4 linked regions of the Mus musculus genome follow. The protein of the gene in region 1 purifies or fractionates together with the protein of each later gene. This does not show direct contact. Links are inferred from orthologs where the notes say so. Each region holds a gene or a part of one and is shown in the gene's direction. Other genes may lie near its edges.

The links. Proteins that work in one complex are often made in the same cells at the same time.
Region 2: the proteins of Rpp14 (region 1) and Rpp40 purify together in Homo sapiens (co-immunoprecipitation; 3 studies listed by BioGRID and IntAct, with this or other methods). This does not show direct contact. The link is inferred for Mus musculus from reciprocal best matches to the Homo sapiens genes RPP14 and RPP40.
Region 3: the proteins of Rpp14 (region 1) and Pop5 purify together in Homo sapiens (co-immunoprecipitation; 3 studies listed by BioGRID and IntAct, with this or other methods). This does not show direct contact. The link is inferred for Mus musculus from reciprocal best matches to the Homo sapiens genes RPP14 and POP5.
Region 4: the proteins of Rpp14 (region 1) and Pop4 purify together in Homo sapiens (affinity purification with mass spectrometry; 3 studies listed by BioGRID and IntAct, counting the BioPlex papers as one, with this or other methods). This does not show direct contact. The link is inferred for Mus musculus from reciprocal best matches to the Homo sapiens genes RPP14 and POP4.

Annotation. Positions count from the first base shown.
Region 1 is NC_000080.6:8,083,060-8,086,850, forward strand, and holds part of Rpp14 (ribonuclease P protein subunit p14), read left to right. Parts: intron 1-648; 5' UTR 649-664; coding exon 665-735; exon of another isoform or gene 736-748; intron 749-857; coding exon 858-942; intron 943-3,791. UniProt on the Homo sapiens protein: Component of ribonuclease P, a ribonucleoprotein complex that generates mature tRNA molecules by cleaving their 5'-ends.
Region 2 is NC_000079.6:35,899,576-35,903,366, reverse strand, and holds part of Rpp40 (ribonuclease P protein subunit p40), read left to right. Parts: intron 1-1,258; coding exon 1,259-1,354; intron 1,355-1,935; coding exon 1,936-2,061; intron 2,062-3,791. UniProt on the Homo sapiens protein: Component of ribonuclease P, a ribonucleoprotein complex that generates mature tRNA molecules by cleaving their 5'-ends. Also a component of the MRP ribonuclease complex, which cleaves pre-rRNA sequences.
Region 3 is NC_000071.6:115,238,832-115,241,744, forward strand, and holds the end of Pop5 (ribonuclease P/MRP protein subunit POP5), read left to right. Parts: intron 1-1,330; coding exon 1,331-1,480; intron 1,481-1,641; coding exon 1,642-1,725; intron 1,726-1,807; coding exon 1,808-1,920; 3' UTR 1,921-2,141; downstream 2,142-2,913. UniProt on the Homo sapiens protein: Component of ribonuclease P, a protein complex that generates mature tRNA molecules by cleaving their 5'-ends. Also a component of the MRP ribonuclease complex, which cleaves pre-rRNA sequences.
Region 4 is NC_000073.6:38,265,063-38,268,367, reverse strand, and holds part of Pop4 (ribonuclease P protein subunit p29), read left to right. Parts: intron 1-772; coding exon 773-999; intron 1,000-2,163; coding exon 2,164-2,241; intron 2,242-2,406; coding exon 2,407-2,468; intron 2,469-3,305. UniProt on the Homo sapiens protein: Component of ribonuclease P, a ribonucleoprotein complex that generates mature tRNA molecules by cleaving their 5'-ends.

The DNA of each region.
Region 1 (3,791 bases):
TGTTCTCCTTTTTCCAGCTGTCATCTGAGAGTGCTTGGCATTAGGTCTGACTTAGAGAGGTTCTTGAAATGTTCCATAACAGTGTGACTTGGGTAAGAAGTGGAGAGCCAATGGCAAGACATTGCATAACAAACATCTGCAGAACAAGTGTGAGAAAGCCTCCCTGAAGGAGGAGACATTGAAATGGGAATGAGAGCTATGGGGGATGGGGGTGGAGGTGGGGGGTGGGGAGCAAGGTCTGAGTGGCCTCAAGGAAAAGAGATTTTCTAAGGGGGATCAGTACTTGAGAGTCCAGATCTGTTTGAAATGGCATTGAGTGTGGAATGCCCTGTACACACCCATAATCCCAGCAGGAAAATCAAGAAAAAGGCCAGCCTGGGCTATGTAGCTGGGTCCCCCCAACCCCCATTATTACTTGAAAAGAGCAATAGTATTGCTGCCTGTGTTGTGTATCTTCTGTTGCCAGTAAGAACACCACAGACTAAGTCATTATAAACAGCTACGCTTTGGCTTATACTTCAGGTCCAAGGCTAAGGGGCGACATATAGTTATAGGCTTCTTGCTTATAGAGTCCCAACATAGAAAATGCAATACTACTGTGAGTAACACTGTATATCCTGATGGTTACGAGCTCTCTGACTCCTGTAGGTGTCCATGTTGGAAGATGCCAGCGACTGCATATGAAAGAGTAGTTTACAAGAGCCCCTCAGAGTATCACTACATGAAAGTCTGTCTGTAAGTCCCTCTTGTGAGTTCTGTTTTATATAACCTCTTTTTGTTTGATTGTTTCCTGTTTTGTGAATTTGAAAAGCATGGCATTTAATGTGATATTTTCTCTTCTTAATACTTTTTTACAGAGAGTTTCAAGAACATGGGGTTGGACTGAACGTGGCACAGTTCAAACAGCTGCTCGTCTCAGCCCTGAGAGACCTGTTTGGGGAGGTATGGAATAGCTCGGCAGATTAACATTCTTAAGGTTTTGGTACAGAATTTTAGAAAAGGGACTGAGCGTATAACTCACTGGGGGAATCATGGCCTACCTTGGGCCTAGTTGTACCTGTTACAAAAAACAAAAGAACTTGTTTGTTTATTTGTTTGAGGCAGGGCCTCTGTATGACTCAGGTTGTCTGGAATGTGCTCTGTAAACCAGACTAACATCAAATCCCAGAGCCACCTGCCTCTGCCTCCAAAGCCCTGGGATTAGAGGCTCGCAACATCATTCCCAGTTTAGAAAGAGCAGCTTGTAAGAAATATATATATATATGTGTGTGTGTGTGTGTGTGTGTGTGTGTGTGTGTATGTATGTATTTAATGTTGTACTAGAAATTGTCTAGAAGCTGGCTTTCAGAAATAATGAATTCTGTAGGTTATACTAGTGTATCCTGTATTTGACAAGAAATCTATCAGACACCAGCTTGGTCTCAAACAGTGCTATCAGTTATCGTCTGGACGGTAACCAGGAGACATCATTGCCGTCTTTGAAAAGGCAAAGGGCTTACATGAGCACTAGCATGCTTCAGTGCGAGGGACAGCGGGATGTTCTGAGTTCGGTCCCTGGAAGCCACATGGTAGAAGGAGAGAAGCAGCTCTCAGGACTTTCTTCTCCCCTCGACACACTTGCAGTGGCACAGGCACACATACATATGTATGTGGGCAAACAGACCTCCATAGGTGTGACGCGACACACATACATGTGGGGAAGACACGCACATAAATAAACCTTAAAGCAATAGAAAGGTCTAAGAGTGTGAGCAGAAGCAGCTGTGCTCTGTGATGCTGGCTGACATTTCCACGTGCTCTCAGCCTGTCACAGCCCAGCACCTGGAGCAGCTCGCTCTGAGCGTTCGCCTAACAGAAGAGGAACTTTGGAAACGGAGGGGAAGAACACAGATAGGGTTGACTGTCAGGAGCTGACTTACTCTGTTCAAGTTTTCCATGTACCTTATCAGAGAAATTCTGCAAAGACTGTAAGAAGATGGAAAGATGAGATTTAGGCTAGAGAAAATATTTGAAAACTGTATGTCTGACAAAGAAGTATTATCTAGGGTATTAGAAAGAATTCTCAGAACCCAGTAGTGTCGGGTATAATGATTTACACCTGTAATCAATCACAGCACTAGATAGGTTGAAGTTGGATGATCAAGGTTATGTGTAGCAAGACCCCATCACACACTAAGGAGTCCAATCATAAGAAAACAAACAGTCCAAATAAAATAGGCTGAAACTTTCACAGACATTTCACTAGAGAGTGTGTATAATTGGCAAAAAAAAAACCCCACACACATGAAAATATTAGATACTAGGGTAGTGTGTACCAGCTGCCACATTAAAGTAAGTATGTACCTACCATACGATTCAGCAATAGCACTCTTGGGTATTTACACCAGAAAACTGAAATTTACGTTAGCATGAGAGCCTATACCGTGGACAGGTGAGATGGTTTAGCAGGCAAAGGGGTTGCCGTCACGCCTGATGACCTAAATGTGATCCCTGTAACCCAGACGGTGGAAGAAAAGAACTGCCTTCTTCAAGCTGTCCTCTGACTTCCATCCGCACATCAGGGCACATACTCATGCTCACAATAAGTAAATATAATAAAAAAAATAATTTAAAGCAAAAATCTACACTTGGCCCCGAGAGGTCCCAGCAGTTGCAGAGCACCTGGGTTCGGTTCCTAATACCCACATAGGGATACATAACTATCTTGTAGCTCTACTTGTATAGGATCTGTTCTCTTCTTCTGGCTTCCTCAGGCACCAGGCATGCACACGGTACACAGATACACATGTAGGCAAAAGGCTGTGTACATAAAAATAAATCTTGAAAGGAAAAAAAAGGAATCCTGCACACCAGTGTTTGTGATAGTCTTATAATAACCAGAAGCTGAACACATCACATTTGTTCTTTAATGGATGGATTGTTCAGTGATTGTAGCTTCATATCATGGAATATAATCAGAGAAAAGAACAATGCTAGACAGAGCTCTAGAAAATTCGGCTAAATGGAAAAAGCCAACCGTAAATACGTTACTTACTGGGTAATTTCTATGTATATAATGTTCTTCCTACAACGTAACCTGTAGAAAGAAGTGGTTGCCAGGGTTACGGATGGGAAATGGAGTGGGTATAAGTAATAAAGGGCCGATAGAAGAGTCTTGTGATGGCCCAGGTTTTTATCTTAGTGGTGGTGGTAGTTATAAGAAGTTGCCTGTGTGGAAGCATACACATAAATACATCTGCGTACACATAATGTCTGAGCTGAATAAATCCAGTTGTATCAACACCAGTTCTACAGGTTACGTTATAGGCAGAGCATTATATACGTAGAATTACTCAGTAAGTAACGTATCTAGAGTTGGCTTTTTCCATTTAGCTTAATTTTCTAGAGCTTTGTTCTTTTCTAGCATTGTTCTTTTCTCTGATTATATTCCATGATATGAAGCTACAATCACTGAACAATCCATCCATTAAAGAACAAATGTGATGTGTTCAGCTTCTGGTTATTATGAGGCTTTGATCACGCACAGCAGTTACATAAGATGCTGGTTTATGGGGACGCTGAGGGAAGAGTGTGTGTACTTTCCTATAGAGTGCAACAAATTAAAAAATAAAACCTGAAATTAGTATGTCATAGGAAAATGTGGTTTCAGGAGCTAGAGTTTAGTAAGATATGGTTTCTCTCCGTTGGGCTGTCTTGTTAAATGGTGACAAGGAGGGGAGATGTATAGATGAGCAGAGTATAGAATCGGGCATAAGGAAGAACTCAGTAAGTAGATTGATCTTGTGATCTTA
Region 2 (3,791 bases), on another chromosome or scaffold:
CTGTATAGCCCTGGCTGTCCTGGAACTCACTTTATAGACCAGGCTGGCCTAGAACTCAGAAATCCGCCTGCCTCTGCCTCCCGAGTGCTGGGATTAAAGGCTTGCGCCACCACGCCCGGCAAATAATAGTTTTTTAAAAGTCAAGTCATACAGCTCTAAACAGTAAAATGAAGCCTATCTTTGTGTTCCTTCTTAGATGGAACCATTTGATGTTTATCTTTCAAGAATTTATAAGCATACATTTTTTTGGTTTGTTTTTGTTTTTGAGACAAGGTATCTCTATGTAACCTTGGCTGTCCTAGAATTCACTCTGTAGACCAGGCTGGCCTTAAACTAAAAGATTCACCTGCCTCTGCCTCATGAGTGCTTGGATTAAAGACGTGTTTTACCAGCACCAGTAAGCATCAAATGTTTAACATTGGTTATATGACATTGTTTCTCAGTAGTCTTATTTTCCAAGGGGTATAACATAGACATGTTCCTGCTTCAGTGCAGATGGTTGTGACTTAGAACTTTTTGTTTTGTTTTGAGATAGGATCTTGCCATGTAGACCAGGTTGGCCTCAGATTATCATTTCTCTTGCCTCAGCTCTCCAAGTGCAAGGATTACACACATGAACCAGCACATCTCTGCCTGGCTTTAACATAGAGCTTTTAAATGTTTTGATGATATTTGAAGTAGGGGCTGGAGAGATGGCTCAGCAGCTAAGAGTGATTCCTGTCATTGCTAAGGATCCAAATTCAGTTCCCAGCAGCCACATGGCAGCTCACGACTCAAGTTCTAGGAGATCCGACATCCTCTTCTGACATTCACAGGCTCCTTGGTGTACTTACAAGCAGGCATACAAATACATATTTAAATTAAACTAAATTAAAATTTAAAGACAGTATTTGAAGTTATACAGACCACAGTTTGATCATTCTTTCCTTCATACAAATTTAATTGTTTCTAGTTTTGCTATTGTAATATGTATATATGTATATATGGTAGATAATACCACAAGCCTGGTGGCTCACACCTGCATCCTGGTATTTGGAAGGTTGAAGCAGGATAATTGCCACCAGTTTGAGCCCAGCCTCAACTACAGAGCAAAGTTCCAGACCAGTTGGGTACATTGCTAGATAATATCAGTGTGCTATAGACAAGTTCTTTGTGTATTCTTATCCCCGACATTTCACTGCTCAGATGTCTAGCTTTCTTAGAGAACACCAGCCATATTTTAACATCTCTCTTAGAAGAACTATTGTTTGATTTGTAGGGAAATTAATTTTATCACTAGATAAAGATACTTACGAAGAAACCGGACTTCAAGGTCGTCCATCTCGGTATTCTGGCAGAAAAAGTATGAAGTTTGGTAAGTATTACATGCGTTCCACTGGAGCCTAGCAAGTCAGTTTTCTTGTAACAAAACGTGAATGCCTTCCCTCTGATCTCTAATCGGAAAAATATGGTTCTTATCTTTGAAATCCTGACTCAAGGAGCTATTGGTTGCACTTCCTGGGGGATTAGATTAGTTGGTGCTGTTAAATTGTTCCTCTTTGGCTGTACACCACATTTTATAAGGGCTGGAGAACTGGACTACCCCTTGTATGCAGTGAAGAGGAACAACTTGATGTGCTTCGTACACAGATTCTTTGTGATTAGCAGTGGAAATTCACAAGTGAAGAGTTGGTTTTGAGGAAACTCTCTGGTGTGGACATCAATAACTAAGGCTAGCACAGACACAGGTACCTGATCTATGATCTAGGAAGGGCTTAAAGAATTTAAACCAACTATAGCTAGCAGCTCTCAACACTAGAAATAGCCCGCTGAGGGATATGTTTTTGATGAACACAATCTGTACAACTTACCAACTTACCAAAACTTTAGACATTTCTCTACAGTGTAAGCTCTGTATAATTCGAATGAAACAAGTATTCCTCTTTCTACTTTAAGTCATTTCCATTGACCTAATGGATTTATCCCTTAACCTGGATTCTAAGAAGTACAGAAGAATATCTTGGTCCTTCAAAGAGAAGAAGCCTTTGAAGTTTGATTTCCTTTTGGCTTGGCATCCTACAGGTATGAAGTGTGAATTATATGATGATACAGTGAGTTGAGGATCTGTTGGGCATAACGGAGGATCGAGTGGTGATATACTGCTGTGGTAGGGGATATTGCTTACGTAGGTGTGTGGGTATTGTGACAGAGCTGCTCTAGCTTTCCAGATGTCCTCAGCGCCTCAGCTCAGGGTAGGTTTTAAAGCAATCTGCCCCAATTTTCTTGGGTGTTCCTGCAGATCTAGAAAGCTTCACAGTGGTTTCAGAATAGCTAACGTGTAGTCTACCCCTTCTTCCTCTCTGCTTACATTAAAGAGCCTTTGCTAGAATAATTTTAAATCAGCATCAATTATAATTATATGTGTGTGATCTTTATCATTATTACAGGATAGTAACCCAGGAAGACTATTAAATGTCAGACAGCATTTGTTATGACTTTTAATTGATTGTAATACTAAATTTAGCGCCAGCTTATATGTTCATCAAGTATATTAATTTGCTTAGAACTTCCACGTGTATTGCTCCTTTTAGAAGTATCTCTTTGGCCCATTACAAGATTGTAATGAACCAGACCATTGGGAATTACGGTGGTGTGGTATGTCCTGTGGAGGAGAGGGAAACAAAGCACGTTTTGGAACTCTGCATCTATCTCCTCCTGGGAAGTTCCTCAACACATCAGCCCAAGAGAGCTTCTCTCTGTCCAGACGTTATAATGCTCGATGCCTCTCCTCCTCCTGCGTACAGCACATATGCAAGAGAGGAAGATGTTTTCTGATGTTTCTGTAACTTCTCCAAGGACTGTTCATGCAGTGGGTTTTGTTGTTGTGTTCTTTAAGATTTATTTATTTAATGTATGTGAGTACACTGTCACTGTCTTCAGACACACCAGTAGAGGGCATCAGATCTCACTACAGATGGTTGTGAGCCACCATGTGGTTTCTGGGAATTGAATTCAGGACCTCTGGAAGAGCAGTCCAGTCCTCTTTAACCACTGAGCCATCTCTCCAGCCCTTTGTAGCTTTTTATTCCTAGCCTACTAATTACTACCAGAGAAACTAAGGATGCTCCTGAGATTTTACACTCTCTATGAGCCCGCAAAGTCAGCACAGGTGTCATGGGTGCAAGTCCTGGCTCAAAAAAATAAAGGATTTGATTCCTCACAGTGGTAGCTGTTGACAAGTCAGGAAGCCCTGGTGGCAAGCGGATATTGTTACTCTCAGGACTCAAAGGCCTAAGAACCTGGAGCCTGGTACCTAGGAGCAGGAGAAGCCAGGCAGCTCAGCTCCAGGAGACAGAGTGATTTCACCTCCACTCGGCCTTCTTGTTCTCTCTGGGCCCCAGTTGGAATGACCTGCATGTCCACCCACCCTAAGAGTGGGACTTCCCTACTCGGTCCATGAACTCACATGCCAGTCTCCTTTTGAAACACCCTCACAGACACACCTAGAAATGAGCTTTACAACTAATCCAATCTGACACCTAGAATAAAGTAACAAATAGGAGAATCAGCATTCGAACAAGGTCACCAAATCTCAGTTGGCATAGAGTGTCATAGAGTTGGTACGTGTGCCATGGGTTATATTACAGAACAGGAGGGTAGAGCCCTAGAAACCCAGTCCTTTTATAGTGGGAGTAAGCCTTCCTGCTCGGCCCACAAATGGTGGGCGGATCATTATTTCTATGTTACTAAACAATAAGCCAGCCCATCCTATGCTGGGGGGGGGGGGTCTGTTTCTGTCTTCCAAGGCTGTT
Region 3 (2,913 bases), on another chromosome or scaffold:
TCCCCGGCAAGGATTTTTTTTCCCCCTGCAGCGTTAATGTTAATTACGGTGGAGCTGGGCTCTCTCTCCATTCATTGACCTGAGTGGTCAGCGACTTCTTGAGGGCGGAAGGTTTCCCTTAACGTTTCCTTTCAAGCTGGGTGCTGCGGCCCATGCTTTTATCCTAGCAGTCCCCAGGGAGCAAAGGCAGGTTCCAGGCCAGCCAGGAAGTCCTAACTGGACTGTCTAAAAGCAGACAAAAACAAAACAAAAAAGCCACTTTCAAGAATGTTAGGTGGAGATGGAGAGAGGGCTCAGCGGTCTTTGGGAGAGGAAAGATTCCTATCTGAAATAGTCTGAAACTCCAGTTCCAGAGGACAACACCAGGCACAAATGTGTAAATACATGCAAGCAAAACAGCACACGATTACAAATCTTTAGTGTGGTGCATTGCCACACCACCTCTAGTAAGGATCTGTGTGACAAATTCCACAGGCTGAGGCGTTTGATCTCAAAAAGGGGAGACCTCCTGGAACAGGCTGTGGAACTCTTCACAGGAGAAAAATTATTGAGTCGTAGATCTTTTGGCTACTTATCAGTTTTATGTTTTCTATTCCTTTTCCTGTATATGAGGTGTTCCTGATAGCCTAGGTCAAGATCTTAAGCGAGTATTATGACTACAAAACCATCCCTTGAGATGGAGTCACTAAACATGACCTCATCTCCAGGAAAGACAGCACTTCTCTTTATAAATCATGTGTAAGATAGTATTAATAAATATAAACTTTCCCAACAATATTTTATATGGCTGCACCTGCGTCATCAGAAATAGGTTTTGGTATCTTGTTTAAGAAAGTATTATATAGGAAAAATTAAAACAGTTTAAAGAGCTACAGAACAGGGAACTGATCATAAAAATTCATTGGCATGTTTTTGGGAATTTGCCCCAGCCTCAGATGACTTTCGTATGTTTTACTGAGAACACCTTTCTTTGAAGTTGTGACTTGGATGATTTTGTATTTGATGTACCAGGTGGTTGTTATGTCTGTCCTATTTTGCTGTTTCACTGAACACAACTTTTCCGAGCTGAGCTGTAACACCTATTTCTCTAAGTATAAAAACCCTTGACGGAGAGCTGCAAAATACACGCAGATTCAGACTGCCTCTGTTTGTTTATCACCACCGAATCCTTAGCCACCTGACCTCGAGAACCCACATCCCAGGGACCCCTATCCCGGCTGGGGTGGTCCATGCCAGCACATCCTCCCATGTGACGTTTGCCTACGATAGGGTTTTTCTGTATAATTCTGTGAATTTTAATTTCTTTCCCAATTTCCCCTTCCTCCTGTAGTCCGATACCTCAATGCCTACACTGGAGTCGTGCTACTGCGATGCCGGAAGGATTTCTACCAGCTCGTGTGGTCAGCTCTTCCTTTCATCACCTATTTGGAGAACAAAGGCCACCGTTACCCGTGCTTCTTCAACACATTACACGTGGGAGGTACGGGTGGTGTGGATGGTGGCTGTTGTTCAGAGCAGTTGCCAGGTGGGTGGGTCTTGCTTCTATCCACTGAGAACAAGATGTTCCTCCCACCACCCACCCCCTGGAAGACGGTAACCGTTTCACAAGCCATTGTCCACAAAAGCTCTTTCATGTGCCAGGTACCATCAGAACCTGTCAGAAGTTCCTGATCCAGTACAACAGGAGACAGCTGCTGATCTTGTTGCAGAATTGCACTGACGAAGGTAAGCAATGCCAGGCCAGCGTAAGCAGGGACTGAGGCTCAGCGGGGAGGACGATGCCCTAGGACATCTTCCTTTGCTGTAGGAGAGCGGGAAGCCATCAAGAAGTCTGTCTCAAGAAGCTGTCTGCTGGACAGAGAGCCCGTTGAAGAGCTTTCAGACAGTGCTGGTGAGGAGGTTGCAGAAGCAATGGAGTGACCGTTTCCAGGCCCACTTGTGGGAACAGGACATTACAGGAGGTGACAGCAGCATCCCACAGTTCTCCAATGGAAATGACTGATAACCAGCACTCAGGTGACCAGCTTGAAGTGGAGGGCTTGCTGCCTTACCTTGCATCCATGGTTGTGAAGGCTCTGTGCAGACATTTCGGATGTAACTGCTTAGCTCAGGGGTGGAATAAACATTCCTAAACCATAAAATGTGCACTTGCCTTGAATGTGCTCCCCGTGTGGTTCGAGATGAGTTTTAAATGTTCCTAGACCCTTAATATAAGAACACATGTAAATCTGGGCTTGGTGGCATACCTCTGCAATCTTAACACCAGGTAGACAGACCGGCATATCTCTAGAGTTTGAGGCCAGCCAAGGTTCCACAGAGTGTTACAGGTGAGGTGGGTTCAAGCAGAAACACTGGTGAATAACCCCCAGCTATACTTACATAATCTAGCTCAGCACTGTGTCCTAGGACTGCAAATAGCAGGGGATCTCCAGTTTACCATGGCTCAGGTGCCTTTCAGCAGGCCCCAGTGAGGCATGAGTGTACTCCTGGCCTTGGGAGGCGGGCTGCTGTGAATAAGAAGCTCCCATATAGCTAAAGGCTGTGGTCCCAGCTGGAAGGATTGGGAGGTGCAGCCTTGTTGAAAGTGTCCCGGGTAGCTCTCTCTGCCTCCTGCCTGTCAGATGGTTTACAACTGACTCTGTCGCCTTTAAACAACGGGCACTTAAACAAGTTGGGCTCAGCTTCCAGCTCCTACACGGAGGCTCACAATCAAATGTAGAGTGACTCCAGTTGCAGGGGCCAACAGACAGGCATGCAAACACCCTTTCGGAGGCCTTTAAGAAAAAGGGGCTGTGAAAGGGCCAAACCTCTCTTGGTAAGAAGGGGAATCAACAGGCACAGCCTCTTCCCAGGAGAAAAACCTGCAGCAGAGCAGTGCTGTCCCACTGGATGAAGGAACTTAAGGGCTACAAA
Region 4 (3,305 bases), on another chromosome or scaffold:
CTACCTTCAAGTACCTTGAAGGTTGTGTATTCTGTATTTTCACTCCCTTGCTTTACCATAGAGAGGGTAGAAGTCAGCATTCATACGTTAACCTAAAGCTGGCAGTTAGCCCAGACTTGGCCTTACTGTGCAGTTAGTGCAAAAAAGAGCCCAGCCAATGGCCCGGGGAAGAGGTTGGTCCTCAGGTAACAGGGTTTCAGGTGATGAAGGCCAAGTGAGGTACCTGTTGCCCAGTGAGGAATAGACTGTTGCTGCCCTAACTCCAGAGGAAAAGCGATTAAAGAGGACTGTGAAGCTCACTGTCAGAATGCCCCCTCAAAGGACGTGACTTTCCTGGAAACCACAGGCAGTTTCCCCTAGTGCTAGACTGGCTCGTTTTCCTAAGAACCCCAGCTCCCTTCCCCTTTAAGCTGGCCTTGTAGTCATGACTGATTAACCTCTATCATCCATGTCTCAAACTTCCTTCCCCACAAGGATTAGAGAAGTACTAAATTACAAAAAGTTTTGAATCCTCAGTAGAGGATCCTCAAGAAGCAGGACAGGAAGTCATTGTTTGACCTGGCTGCAGTGTGGGACACTGTCACAATTAGTGTATGAGTGTTTCTTTTACATCTTGGCAGTTGTGCGTAGCAAACACTTGGCAAGAGATTTGTGAGCCTCAGTGGATAGAGAGATGGATCAGCAAAGATAGTGGCTTTCTGGAACAGGGTATGAGGGCCCTGGGGTCTGTGGGCACAAGAACCGTGAACAACACCACTATGTCTCCGAGCAGGAGCTGGGAAGCCAGCGGGCTGAGGCCTTTGTGCGGGCCTTCCTGAAGCAGAGCATACCTCACATGAGCCAAGAAGACTGTGAGAGCCATCTGCAGCGCAAGGCCGTGATCTTGGAATATTTCACTCGCCTAAAGCCAAGGCCAAGGCCAAAGAAGAAATCCAAAGGCCTCTCTGCCAAACAGAGGAGAGACATGCGGCTCTTTGACATTAAACCAGAGCAACAGAGGTATGCCCATCTTTCCTAATGGTCTTACCATCCAACCTTGCCTTGTCATCTTTGTCAGGGTTCAAGGACTGGGGGGGGGGGGGGCCTCACTGGACATCCCTACATACTCATGCTCAGGTACTTCTTGCCACAAGAGGGCAGCCTCCCCCTTCCAATTTCCTTGTGCCTGTGCTTGGCCTCTGAGGGGCAGGCATTGGTGAGACTGAGGGTTCTCATCACTTAGCTTCTGTCCTAGCCTCACTAATAATAAGTGAGTCTGTTTTCCATGGCAACAGGCTGTTTGCTTTCAGCTTTCTAGAAAAGAGGAACTGATATGCCTTAATGTGTACTTTCCTGTAGCTTTGAACATAACTAGACAGTATCACCCACTCAGAGGTTACTGCCAAGGAACGGTCCCACCTACTCATTTCAGACATTTCTGAAAGGAATACATCACTGTCTTGTGGGAGGATGTCTTTCTTGATATAGTTCTGAGTTTGTGTTTGCAGTTACTGTTTACTGGCTTTGTATAATGCACTTTAGCCACATATCTTTCTATGTCCCAGATGGCATGACAGTGTCACTTTGCCAAGGATCTGCCTCTCTGGGTTCCTTGAAGGAAGTGCTTGTTTCTGATTTGAGCCATTGTTCTTGACTGCCTAACCCTGTGCACCAAGACATATGATAATCACCCCAGAGGAAAGCTTCCGGGCTCTACTCTCGCCTTCTACACAGTCCTGTCACCTTACAGAAGGGATTGCTCCTCCCAAGGACTATTAAGTTTAACCTCCTGGAAGTGTGGGCTAAGAAGACTAATGTTCCTTTGCTCATTTGTCTTGGGAAAAGGAATGTGGATGAACAGCACCTGGGTCATTATGGCTGATGGTGCATCGCCACCTTCAGCTGGGGGTCTGAGCCAGGGGCTCCACCATCGTATGTCTGGCCAGGAGGGTGGGCATCTAGGTGAAGGACCACCTTTTTGAGAGCAGATATTTAGCCTTGAAGAGGTTCTACCAGGGAAGAAATTGAGTTCGAGTAGCAGGTTGGGGAGTTACTTGGCACTTTGGAGAGCCTTGGCCTCCCACACAGTCTCCGGTGCTCCCTTACGCTCATCCTCAGCCTGGAGCCCAGCTCTGTGTGCTGCGCGCTGTAAACGCCGAGCTCATGCTTCTGGCTTCTTTACAGATACAGCCTGTTCCTCCCTCTCCATGAACTCTGGAAACAGTACATCCGGGACCTGTGCAATGGGCTCAAGCCGGACACGTGAGTTTTAGTTCTGAAGCCGTGGAAGCCATGGGAGCAGATGCCAAGCCTGGAGAGCATTAGAGATGCTCTGAGAAACCAGCAGGCTGTGGGGTTGTGTTTGTGTTTGCAGTTACTGTTACTGGCTTGTTACCGACTCTTCTCTGTGGGCTCTTCACCTCCTAGGCAGCCACAGATGATTCAGGCCAAGCTCCTAAAGGCAGATCTTCATGGTGCTATTATTTCAGGTAATTTCTATGAATGCATATAGTCATCTGGAGATTGTTACTCAGTGTAAGTGAAGTGTGTGTCACAGCATTCAGCCTGTCATCTGTCACTTGGCATCCCTGAACTATCTCCAAGTCACAAGCAGTGAGGATCTGAGATAGTTGTGATCTAACCCATCCTGGTTCCTTGTTAAACACACACTAAGTGCTCTCTTGGTGCCATCTGCTCACACTGTTGGAATCGAGGCTCTAGCCGATTCTCTTGGGCCCAGATTCCCTCCCATCATGGTTTCCAAGGGGTCACCGCCAGTGCAGACTTTTCCCACGACTCCTTCACCCCATGACACCCAAAGCTGCCTGGATGGACATCCAAGAGCTACCTCAGATTAGCTATCCAACACCAAGCCGTTGGTCCCCTGAGGTCAGCTGTCTCTGATCTGCTTGCCTCATCTCCTAGAATAGCACAGCTTGTCCAGGCTAGAAACTAGGAAGTACATACAAATTACCTCTTTCCCCAATCCTCTACCTCAAGGACATTAACACACCTAGCTCCCAAATCTGACCCACTCCCTCAAGGTGCTGCGACTACTTTCTCTGGCCTCCCCACACCCTGCCCAGGTCACATACTGTTTTATTCCCACATACACTACAAGGTTAAATACCCAGAATGAAGGCTGCAGTCAGACTTCAGACTGCTGTTTACGTTACCCGTTCTAGGCCTCTAGCAGCTTCGGTGTCCTTTGGCCACTTTGTAGCTTGCACACCAGTTGTCTTTGCTTGAGTCCTTCATTCAACCAAGGGGTTCTGCATATGCATGTACCTCGGTCCCCTTTCCTGATGTCACTTCTGAGAGTCTAC